3 linked regions of the Bombyx mori genome follow. The protein of the gene in region 2 purifies or fractionates together with the protein of the main gene of each other region. This does not show direct contact. Links are inferred from orthologs where the notes say so. Each region holds a gene or a part of one and is shown on either strand. Other genes may lie near its edges.

What was found. The genes of interacting proteins can lie anywhere in the genome.
Region 1: the proteins of AP-2 complex subunit sigma (region 2) and epidermal growth factor receptor substrate 15-like 1 purify together in Homo sapiens (affinity purification with mass spectrometry; 4 studies listed by BioGRID and IntAct, counting the BioPlex papers as one, with this or other methods). This does not show direct contact. The link is inferred for Bombyx mori from reciprocal best matches to the Homo sapiens genes AP2S1 and EPS15L1.
Region 3: the proteins of AP-2 complex subunit sigma (region 2) and F-BAR domain only protein 2 purify together in Homo sapiens (co-immunoprecipitation; 3 studies listed by BioGRID and IntAct, counting the BioPlex papers as one, with this or other methods). This does not show direct contact. The link is inferred for Bombyx mori from reciprocal best matches to the Homo sapiens genes AP2S1 and FCHO2.

What each region holds. Positions count from the first base shown.
Region 1 is NC_085125.1:127,927-131,949, reverse strand, and holds the start of epidermal growth factor receptor substrate 15-like 1, read left to right. Parts: upstream 1-1,223; 5' UTR 1,224-1,258; coding exon 1,259-1,285; intron 1,286-1,487; coding exon 1,488-1,535; intron 1,536-1,712; coding exon 1,713-1,757; intron 1,758-4,023.
Region 2 is NC_085131.1:681,790-685,776, reverse strand, and holds the start of AP-2 complex subunit sigma, read right to left. Parts: upstream 2,801-3,987; 5' UTR 2,621-2,800; coding exon 2,618-2,620; intron 2,541-2,617; coding exon 2,391-2,540; intron 975-2,390; coding exon 801-974; intron 1-800. UniProt on the Homo sapiens protein: Component of the adaptor protein complex 2 (AP-2). Adaptor protein complexes function in protein transport via transport vesicles in different membrane traffic pathways.
Region 3 is NC_085116.1:2,412,224-2,416,394, forward strand, and holds the start of F-BAR domain only protein 2, read right to left. Parts: upstream 2,801-4,171; 5' UTR 2,742-2,800; coding exon 66-2,741; 3' UTR 1-65. Other genes in the region: SH3 domain-binding protein 5 homolog, read right to left, coding at 2,801-2,869. UniProt on the Homo sapiens protein: Functions in an early step of clathrin-mediated endocytosis. Has both a membrane binding/bending activity and the ability to recruit proteins essential to the formation of functional clathrin-coated pits.

The sequences.
Region 1 (4,023 bases), on a different chromosome or scaffold from region 2:
ATAGGTCGACGAGGCCATCGTTGACGACTCTACGTCGGCCGTCTCGGTGCGGTAGCCCGACGGGCCACCCCAGGCAGTGGTGCTGGTGTTCCGGAATATCCCGCTGGACTAGAACCAGCCAATAGGAACGCAATATACCACCAACCGGTTGCTCTCACACAATAGTTTCGTGGAACTGCTGCCATGCAGCGCGCTAGAGCGCAGGTACGCCGTGCGGTAAATGGGATGTGGTCATGGCGCTGGCCCCAGCTAGGTGAGGCCGTAGGCTAAGGCGTAATCGTAGGTAGCCTGGTTCGGGAGGTCAATGGTTTTATTGGTACTCCAACCATTATTGATGACGAGCGTTGAAGTCTTGGACCATTACCTCCACAAATGGTTACTTTGCTCAAGCAAGTGGTCAGTCCTCTCTTGCAAATGCTCAAACTTTTTGGCATGGATGATCTAGTGTGCTCACTGGTTGACAGGGTTGTGTTTGGACTTAATAAAATAAATTCGTGTTGGTAGAAATGGGAGTATTTGGAATTTAAAAAACACAACGTTGAAATGATTAAATTTTGATAGATTTTCTTTGGTTGTCAACACTGAAATTTGTTTAACCTTTGCACAGTAACATTCAAAATGACGACTTTGACGCCAACTGCTGCACCCGGAATTCGGTGAATCAACAGTCCGAAAAAACCGAGATCCAGATCCAAAAAACTGACTTTCTCTACATCTAACATGAAGTTTGTGTGCGAGAGAGAAGGTCCATTCATTAGGTACAGTTTTAAATGTGTTAGAAAGAATAAAACATAATAGTAGAATATCTGTTATGAGTCCAAACTCTCCGGACTATTCACACCCGGAATTCGGCGACCTCATTGTAATCAATGAAACGAGATGAAAATAAATTAAATAATATCAGTGAAGTAATGGGAGATTCGTTAAGCATTTTGGAAGAATCCGAAAAGCTGGATGAAGATTTTGTTTCAATTTTCCAACATGTTTCATTTTAAACGACATATAGAATGCAATTAATAGTTAAAATTAGACGATAATGCCTGAAGAAAAACAGAAAAATAAATCATTTCACGCAACTTGACATTTCATATTCCTGCCAGAAAGTAAATAATATTTATCAGTCATTATGGTCATAGACCTATGTCAGTACCTTCCATGACAGTGCCAAGTACAATTTCCTTTCTTTAATCTTTACTCCTTCACTTAGCTTAGTCTATGACTGGCTGCATATTGATTGGTCGACGAGGAGATGTAAAAAATGGCTGCCTTGCCGTCTCCTACCCAGGTAGAAATTAATAAGATTTACTGAGTTGTTTTTGATTAAATTGCTTAAAGGAAGTTAATTAATCAATTTAAAGAGTCCAGTTTTAGTAAAGTTTAGTGTGTGGTTACCAAAAATAACCGGTTTTAGTAATTTAGTGTGAAGATCGTGTTAGAAACAAATTTATTTGCTTGAATTTAATGTATTGACGTATTTATCCCAACAGTGTTCATTTAATGCCCATTTCGTAGTCAAAGACTGTGCCTCAGTTATGGTGAATAATCTCTTTAATAATTTATTAACCTCTTAATTAGTTGGTTGAATAGTAAATGTTAACAATTAAAACATATCTCGATTAAAAGTAACGCCACCTCAAAAGTGATATAAACAAGTCGAAAACAAATATTATGGTGATCTAAACGGTGTCAATATGTGGACTCAATCGTTACAGGTGGCAGGGACCCACAGCACGATATATGAAGCCTACTATCATCAGGTAAGTGGAGAGTTCATACATACTTACATGTCTTGTTGGTCATTTTGGTATATTAAATAAATTTGTCATCAACCCTGCTCTTGCCTAAGTGATCTACGAGTACATTTGTATACAAATGCATAGTTTAACTCATAGATAATTCGACTATAGCTGATAAATTTTAAAGACGGAATTTTGTATTTATTAACCAATCTAAAAAACCCATCAGATTACATATTGTATTCTCTAATCACTGATGAGATATTAGGAAACTTTAAGTATTTTATTTTCATAAACAGTTCTGAATAAATATTTTAACCATAAATTTAAAGCCGGTCGTCAACTAACTTCCTCCAGGTACTCAGTTGCCTCTGGTTGTTAAATCATTTTTCAAAGAGATGTCAATGACTAGAACAGTGATATTGCAAAGAAATTAATTAAAATATAAATAGATTAACATGTTTGCTGAGTTGGTTTTGCTCATTTTATAACTGTTGGTAGAGTTTATTTTGAAATTTAAATCTTCCTCAAAGAACCCTTCAGTACACTGAAATAGCACATGAGTGGCTATTCCAAGCTTATGATCACTAAGATAAATGTCATATTGTGTAAAATATAGGCATATGTGTATATTTATGTAGGCTCATTTTATGTCACAGTGTGTGTATGTAATTTGAATAGGCTATATCTCACTAAATTATAATTATGCCGTTGGACACTTTTGTCCTCCTTCAAATCTTGCTGAGCTTTACCTACATGAAGCTGTTGTGGCCTAAAGTATAAGACACCCAGTGAATTCATATTGAGTCATGTGACTGACCCAGTATTGAAGTCCTGCAGGCAGGCATCAATTTTTGTGAGGAAACAAGTACTTAAAAATGAGTTCACTTTACAAATGACTTTTGTGGTAAAAGAATAACATTGTCTTAGAAATCAAACTTGCAGAATTACTGGTGGTAAACATTGTAAGATAGATCAGTTCTGTTTAAATTAATGAATAGATTACTTACTCTACCAATTCAATAAAAATGCACAAAGTAAATACCATCTCAGACGTAAGATCAAATATGATAATGAAATTTGTATCTTTGATATATATGGTATATTTTAAGATTAGTTGTGATTGCCAAGAGGTGATAAAAAATGTGAAATCAGATAAATTTCAGTGTTGTGTTTTTGGTCATTGCAGCAACAAATATTTTGTACCCAAATGTGAAATAAGTTATATCTCAACCCTTCTTTACTTTAATGAATGAAATATGGTAATAATTCTCTCCAAATTGTTTCATCATTGGCCGTTTGTTGGTTTGCATTAGATCTATTTTGAGCAAACTTTAAGTCAAAATTTGTAACTAAGAATTCTGATAAATATATTCCTGTAGCCCTAACCAGCTACTTCCAGTTGACTCCATACAGAATATAGCCGTTCGGATTTTGTACTGTATGTTCCACGGAGTGCTCTGAGGAATTGTTTGAGATGATCCCATAATTTCATTTTTACCATCGCATCGCCCGCCACCGATATAGAGTTCATCCATACTAGAGCCAATGTGTTCATCCACACAATTTTTTGCCATGTACCACTAGGGTTTGGAATGAGCTTCCTTCCATGGTGTTTCCCAAGCACTATATGCCCTTCTTCAAATGAGGCTTGTGGATAGTATTAAAACGTAGGCAGCGGCTTGGCTCTGCCCCTGGATTGCTGACGTCTAGGAACGACAGTAACTACTCATCATCAGATGGGCCGTATCCTACATAAGTAATAAAAAAAAGTTATGATTTACAAAATTTTTATACTAGTGCTAGATATAAGCATAGGCCAGTACTGTTGGATTCTTGATTGTAAGTTAAATAACTTAGAGGCTGTGTGCACATTACAACAAGAACAGATCAGGAAATGTGTTGCTCTAAACTGGCTCTGATCTAACATGTTGGTTTCTTCAATTACAGATGCAATACTTCCTTATTGTTCCTTATGTGCTCTATTCAGTGTATTTTCTTGCTTTTTAAATCAGTACTTACTAATATTGGAAATGCAAACATGAATACATAGGCGGCACTGAAAATTTCGGGAATTAATGAAGTGACACAACATTACTATTTAAAAATGTATTTATTGCTTTTCGAAGTATTCTCCGCGAAATTTGACACATTTTTCCATACGATGGAACCAATCATTGAAGCAACCATTCCATTCGGAAGTTGGCGTCTCCAAAATGGCCGTTTTGTAGGCGTCCACAGCTTCTTCAGGTGATGAAAATCTCTGTCCACGCAATTTATTCTTTAT
Region 2 (3,987 bases):
TTTTCCTCCCGCTGTACAGGGAAGAAAGTGTAACTTTTCCTCCCTGGGTACTGACAAGTGCGCATGTGCGTTAGTGTCTACGTCTGCTCTCACGCACCTAAAATTCTTCGCCATTGTTGTGCTCGGGTAATTTGCAATATTGTGTTTAGTGTAAAAGTGAAATAAACAAAAGGCAATAAAATTTAATAGTGAAGTATTAAGCAAAGATGAGTTCATCAGACAGTTCTTATTCAATTAGTAGTAGTTTATTTAAAAAATAAAAAACAGGAATTGTTTTTTTTATGAGTGGGGGGCTCCGCCCCCCCACCCTCTCGCCAGGGCCTCGGCCCTGGAACTCGGTTCGGTACTCCACGGGTGCTAAGTTTTTTACAATGTCGAACTTTCGGCCTGGTAGGAAAAATAGTACATTGTGCACCAAGGGAGAAAAGTAGGGCATTTCCTCCCGCGTGTAAAATTGCCACCCGAGCCGAAGGCGTGTGTGGCAAACACGAGGGATGATCTAATCAATTACAATTTGCTCAAAGAAATTTTTATCAACTTTACAACTACAAAATACGAACAGAATCGAATTTAGCTTTAAACATATCAAAACATGCAAAATGTACCCTTTGATGACCACTTTACCCCAATCAACCTTGTCAAAAATAGGTACTTATAACATAAGCCACTTGAAATGTATTAACAACCCATCTTGATTTTAAAAATTTCTTTCTTTTATCTATTAAATATAACACAAAATAATTGACAGCAGTTTTAAGAATGTCCACATTAAATATAACAGTTTATGTATTTCCACTTACTTTATAAAAATTGAAGACCAAGTCCAACTCGCAAACATTATGGAAATATTCATTTAGGACCTCGACAAAGTTATGTATGGCCTCGAGATAACACAAATTGTTATCATTTACATCGACACATATACAGAAGTACAGACCTGCATACCTCCTGTATACTATCTTGAAATTTCTGAACTGTAAACAGAATAACATATCTTTGTATATCTATACTGTAGAAAAGAGATATTGTTGTATTGTATGAATTTCATATGAATAGTTTAATATTCAATAAAATTATTAAGCTATTGATAGGTATTATATTGATATTAAATATATAAGAATTCTCAAAACCAAGACAGACAGAAGTATTAGGAACTCCTCACAGGATAACTAATATTTTGCAATGTAATATATGTAACACATCTTTGACAAAATATAAACCCACTAGAACAACAAAAAATGTTTTCGGTTGATTAAAGGGTGTTATGTTATACCCAAAACAGTATAGAAATAATTAAATCCTGTATGTTACTGACATAATAGCACTCTTGTATAGATAGATATCTGACAGGTGTAATAGCAGCTTCAAAATGTGTATTGAAAATAATAAATTGAATAGTTGACACCAACACAGTTAACAGCAATATGAAAATTAAATAGAAAGAGTAAGTGGTAGACATTAGATTATTTTTAAACAAACATTGTAGCATCTTATAGGTAATTTTTTCAATTTTTATTTATAGGCTGATAGACAGCCCACCTGATGGTTAGTGGTTACTGTTACTCATTGACATGGATACAATGCCAGGATCACAACCAATTCACTGCCTATAGCTGAGTACTGAGAAAGATGTTACAGCACTCAAGCAACACTGAGAAGAGAAGTTAATTCCAAAGTTAGATGATATTTGGGAAAATATTCAAACTATTCCTCATTGTACTCCCATGGAATGCACAGTATAAAACAAGGACAACTGTAGTTCCCCCACAGTGCCTGTTTTCCAAGCGGTCAGACTGGGATTATCGTCAATCCAAACAGCCTTCTTCTGTATGTAGTCAATGGACATAGCTGATATTTGGGAGACTCAGCTCAAAGATAGGAGCAGTACTCCACACCAGACCAGACTTAGGGTGTTGTAAAGAAAAATTATGTATCCAGGCATGAAGTATTGCTTCTCAATGTTGAGGAATACCAGCAATTTTGATGCAAACTTATAGTCAAGAGTTTCCAAATATTTTCAACAAAACAACAATTACTGTACAGAATACAAATGAAAAAGAAGTTCTCAAAGATTCTCAGCTTGCTACTTTTTAGCATGTGTAGCATGCAAGGGAACTGTTCCAACCACTTCAAGCAGTAAAAAAAGCTGTTTTTGATTATATTATTAACCATCTCAGGGAGGAACGTAATTGACCCTAGTGACTCCTGTGCACACTCAATGCAATTATACATTTAATATTACTTTAACTATACTCTTTCATGTAGTCTTATATTGATTAGTATGATTTAATCTGTATTGTTTCCAAGTGACCAAGGATATCTTCAAGGAGTTATAGCAGACAGAAAGCTTTAGGCGGTCATTAATGATAAAATAGGCTTTATAAAGTTACCTCGACAAAGTTCGTGTGTTTCGCGTCTCTGACGGTGACGACTGCATGCACTTCTTCTATCAACTTCTGTTTTTCGTCATCATCAAAATTCATATACCATTTCGCAAGTCGAGTCTTGCCTGCTCGGTTCTGGATCAAAATGAATCTTATCTGGGAATTTAGAATAATTTTTAATTATTACACGCAAGTAATGAACTAAATAATATTTTTTTATGAGATAAGTATACCATTTTCACGTTTAGTTATGGCTTTTTTTTTAAATATTACTTTCAAAGACGGGTTGACGCCTCCTTTTTTTAAAACTAGTAATCAGAAATCTTTATCTGAAATTCAGTGATTTCAACTTTGACAGCTACAAAATTCAACCTTCTCCCATTCAGTGCACGGTATTATCTATGCTACCATCATACTTCTCAAATACTATGTGTATTATCTATAATCATACTAGCAGCAGTGTGAAAAATGTCAAGAAATCGTAGATAGACTAACCAGATACCTACTACATTTAAATGAAAGGGAAAACCTTGATAATCTTGAATTTAGTTGTATTTTATTACTTTGAGATATTCTCTTTGTTCTGTACGAACTTTTTATTTTATTGACTATTATGGAGGACTATCTTGAGTACTACTTGGTACGTAATCACAGTAAGCAATTGATAGCAAAGAATAAGCTATTAAGTAAAAAATTTGGTAGTTGCATTTACATTTTAATTTAGATATATTTGCGCAATGTTTTTTAAACTTTTATTCAAAGAAAATTACATCACGAGAAGATATATGTCTATGTAACTTCTCCAACGTAAAAGTGTCGAGTTTCTACTGGTAGCTTTTGGAACTAGTGGCAAAAAAACTTTTTATTTTGTAGACTTTAATAGATATGAACTAATCGGTCAATGAAGCCCGTTCTTGAGGAATTGAAACGTATTGGTATTAAATAAAAAAATATCAGTCAATCACAATTGCAATATTTACTAAAAATCTGTACATATATAAACTGTATAAAAATAGAGTTAAGCCTTATAAATAACTAGACATGCGCTAAAATGTGGATTGCATGCAATATTCAGATCGATCAAATTACTTCGAGGATAAAGTATTATTTTCCTAGAAGATTTGAAGATGAATTAAGGCATTACCCACGAAATATTTCGGAGTATCAACTTTTCATTTTTTTTTAATTACTTCGTTGGATAGCTGCGTTCACAGCCCACCTAGTGTTAAACGGTTACCGGAGCCCGTAAACTTCAACAACTCAAATGCCGCCACCCACCTTAAGACATGAGTTTGAAATCAGTTTTTACAATACAACGGCTGTCCCACTCTTCAAGCCGAAATTCATTATTGCTTCACGGTAGAAATAGTTAGTGCGGGCTCACAAGACGCCCTACCACCAGTAAATTATGTTTCATTTATCTTCTCTAATCTGTCCAGGCTACGCCTATTATTGTATTTTTTCGACCGTTCTTTAAATTTTTTTACTCTAGCAACAAAATTATCGAATTGTTTTTCAATTTTCCAGTAAAATTTTGACGTTGCTACAACTTGCTCGTTCATATCTAGTTTTACCAATGTAGAGCTTAAGGTTTTCTCAAAAT
Region 3 (4,171 bases), on a different chromosome or scaffold from region 2:
ACGTGGATATATGACAACGAGAATTACATATACAAAAGCACACGCTCATGTCGAAATTGGACCAATTAGTTCATTTCGCTATCACAAATATATTTCCCAGACACGAAGCGACGTTTCACGAGCGACAAGCGGTACCCACCACCAATCAGTTCAAACTCTATCCCAGAGAGGGTGGCGCCTTCGCAATTAAACTGAGATGAGAGAGTGGCCTTGCTAGAGGGTCCCTTGTTCAGCTCGAAGCGCGCCCGCAGCGATCCTACGCCACGGTCCTCTGAATGTTGCGACAACTCGGTAAAACGCCATAACGCTTGTTCAGTTTCTTCATTCCAAATGTTTTTAGGCATTGCAATTACATTTTTAACAGAGCCATTCACAGGAACACACACAGACACATTCAAAAGTGGTGATGGAGGACTCATTGCATGCATATTGTACTTATAATCTACTTTCAGATCTGTGTGGTCCTTCTCACATTTCCAATAAGAAACCAGCTGAAATGGACATGAGGATGCTCCAGTTTTTGGTCTTATCTGATATTTTAATATATCTACATTGAAGTACTGTGCGGTGGGATTTTTTTCTGACTGTCGCTTCAATAATGAGGTCAAAGCAGGCATATTGAAATCTACAACAGTGGTATCACGTGTAGATGTTGATTGATTGATGGTAACCAACTGTTTATTTGGAAGTACTGTTTCTAATCTATGTATGTTTTTTAGTCTAAAACAAAGTTTTGCAGGGTTTGGATTGTTAGCAAGCACACCAACAATACCAGTGGGGAAAGAAAGCATCATGTCTCCAGACATCTTTACTTGACATTTTGATTCTTCTGTACCACGGAAATATGAATGAATTATTTCATGGAACGCAACTGCCAACGGTATAGTATCCGCCATGCCGATTGTAAGTGGGGAAGGACCACGGGAGCCTGTAGAACCTGCAGTTCGAAATTCTCCATCAGACCTTCTTGATGGTGGACGTGGGAGAGAAATAGTAGATATTGTTGGGGTGGATGTTCGAATATTGGATTGACTCATTTCACCTACTTCTGAGAATAAATCACCAACTTCAGTATTAGAAATGGGTGTGGGACTCTCAAACACATGTGACTGATTTCCTTGTAAAGGTGCATAAGGATTAGACACATTAGCTTGAGGTGATGTGGGATTACTGACAGTTGGGCTCGGGAAGAAGTCCAGGCCAACTAGGTCATTGCTTGCTTTGCTTGTATTCACATTAGAACCCCGACGTGTTGTGCCAATTTTGTACAAGGAGATATTTTCTACGGTAGCTCTGAGCTCATCTACACTAGCAGACATTGGAGCACTACCATTGGTTATAGGTTTAATCTCAACATGAATTTTCTGCTCCCTTTCCTCTTCAGAGTCAGAATCACTAGAAGAGTATACACTGCCTTTCTCTTCTTTTGGTCTTATACAAAAACCCTCCTCATCTACTTCAGGTGAATTTATCAGATCCTCCTTAATTGGTGTTTCCTCTTGTTTTTCCTCAAAATCAGACTTGTCAGCTGTTGAGTTCATAGAGTTATCATCCTTTTTCTTTTTAGATTTTTTTTGTTTTGGCTTAGTTCTTTTGCTACGTAAGAACCATTTGGACTCCCGCAAGGTGGTTCGACCCATGTTGTCCTCTTTATCTGGAGCTACCGGAATAGCTGGAGTTCCACTTGGGCTGGAAGGGGCAGAGCATGGTGCAGCACCTTCAATGTTGATAGTGGGTTCATCTTTGCTTTGGAAATTGGGAGTGAATAAATTAAGGAGTGAAGTAGTCCTCCTTGATGTTTTAGTAGCAAAAGATGGCTCTTTTTTGGGAGCTTTTCCTGGCTGCGTAGGTTTGTGAGAGCCATTAGAGACTGTAGATATCTGATCGGCTTCTGATATAGAGTTGTTAGCTGAACCGGGTTTTGGTAAAGTTGGGGGCAGCTCAACGAGAACTGCTTTTTCTATGGAAGTATATTTTTCTATCAAGAACTGTTCTAATAGTTTTTCAACAGTCAACTCTAGACACTGGTGCTTAAAGTCCCGATGCACCTGTCCCATCATATCGTGATTGTTTTGAATTATATCAGCATAAACATTAACAAACTGTTTCATTTGTTTTAAGTGTGCCTCCTCCACATCTTGAAAGTGCTTACATGTTTGAGACATTTTCTTTTCAAAATCTTGTTTTACAAGATTATACTTTTCAGCAAGCTGCCAATAGTCTTCATGTAATTTCTTCAATTTAACCTCAGCCTTTTCGAGGTCTTTAGCAGATGCATTATCCTTTCGGAGTTTTTCAAATTCAGCAGATTTTGTAGTATAGACATCTTTTGCTTTCTGAAGTGCCTGTTTAGTATTTTGTATCAGTAATACTACTTCTAAAGTACTAGATTCAGAGTCTTTGACAGCCTTATGTTTTTTATGTAATTCATCAGCATATCTCGCCACATCTTTGACCAATTCACCCACCTTCTGGAACATGTGCTGATGTAAATTAGATAGTTTCTCAGCTGAGCATTTGAGAACGCTCCAGAAGGGCGCGAATGTACCCTGTGCGCAGTTACCGTTCGCTTGTTTTGCTAGTTTAGCTAATGATTTTGAATTAGTCTCCTCAATATTGGACCTTTCCCTTAGATATTCGGAGAGCTCTTTACTTGCTATAAGTCCGTATTTCATGTTTTGATATAATATATCATATCCATTATGCTCGTTGGCGAAATAATCTACAAAGTTAACACTCATGTTTGCAGTTGCGAGATGCTACCGTTACAACTCAGAACATTATATTGTCACGCACTGACCTGGATCCTAGGGTCGAGCTCAGTATCGCCGTTGTCATCGGCTGGGATCGTGAAAGAGGATTCCTCCATTGCACTGCCTATGACTGCGAAGCCACCTAATCGTTTAAATTACATCACCGCACAATAGCGTGAAGCGTCACCTTCAAACACTTTCAACATGACAAACTAGTTATTGAAATTTAAATTCACAACAAAATTTAAGAAATGGTTTAAAATAAAAAAAAACACAAGATAACGGGTAAGTCGGGTAATGTTACGTGCTTTGTAACAAAATAAATAATAAAATAATTTTCTTGTGCAAGATGACGTCCTCCACCGTGACGTCGTATCACAACAATAGACAATCTCATACATTTTTTTCGATTTCTGCCCAGGTAGGTAGGTACTTGGTTAAGTTTTAAATGTCATGCCACCGTCCGTTAAGTAGCTGCTTCCCTCTTCAATACTGATATTGTAAAAGAATGCACGAACAATATACCAAGGCTCCAAAAGTTTACAGGATCTAATAAATTTAATGAAAAGCATTTTAACGTAACTTGACAACATCCTTTGATAAAAAAAATATAAATTGCCAATTGAATAATGAAGATATTTTGTCAAAATTAAAAATTATCAAAGGTATGTACTCAGTATTATCTTATTGGCAGATATCAACCATTTTAACTAAATCATATTTATTTCTTATTTCTTGAAATAAATACCAAAATAAGCGTAGAATGATTTGTAGACATGATATAAAGGATAAAACGCCCGGCATATTTTAATCGATTGAAACATCCGTACGGATGTTAAAATCCTGTAGGCAGATTCAAATTTTTCCAATGGAAAACGTACTGCACGTAGCCATGGGTGAACTGGCTTCCTTATCGAATAATTAACACACGTAATATGGGTGATTATTGATACTAGGACGCATTGTAAGCCCGCTCTGGTAAGTACTAATACACTTTATCTATTTTTGCCGCAAAGCAGTTATCGGGGTGACATTTAATTAAACCATTTACCTAATCTATCTCCTACAACCCGCCACGAATTGAGCGATGTAGGAAATTGCAGCCAATGTGATCTGCACGGCAGCCATTTTAATGTACAGCCAAAATTTTGCGGGGAGAAGATAGAATTGCAGAACGCTCTTCTTATTGAAATATCACGACAAGAAACAACGAAGAAAAACGTCCCACAGAAGCTGTTTGAAAGTGACTGGCCAAGCCCACACTGGAGAAATCGTTGACATGGTTATAATTGAGCCTATCTATCGCAATTTGATGAATCGGTGGTCATTGGTAGCGAGTGATAATAAATCAGCAGTTGAATTTGCATTTTCACAATTCGTTCTATTTAATTTTTTATGAAATAGACGATATTTCCTTT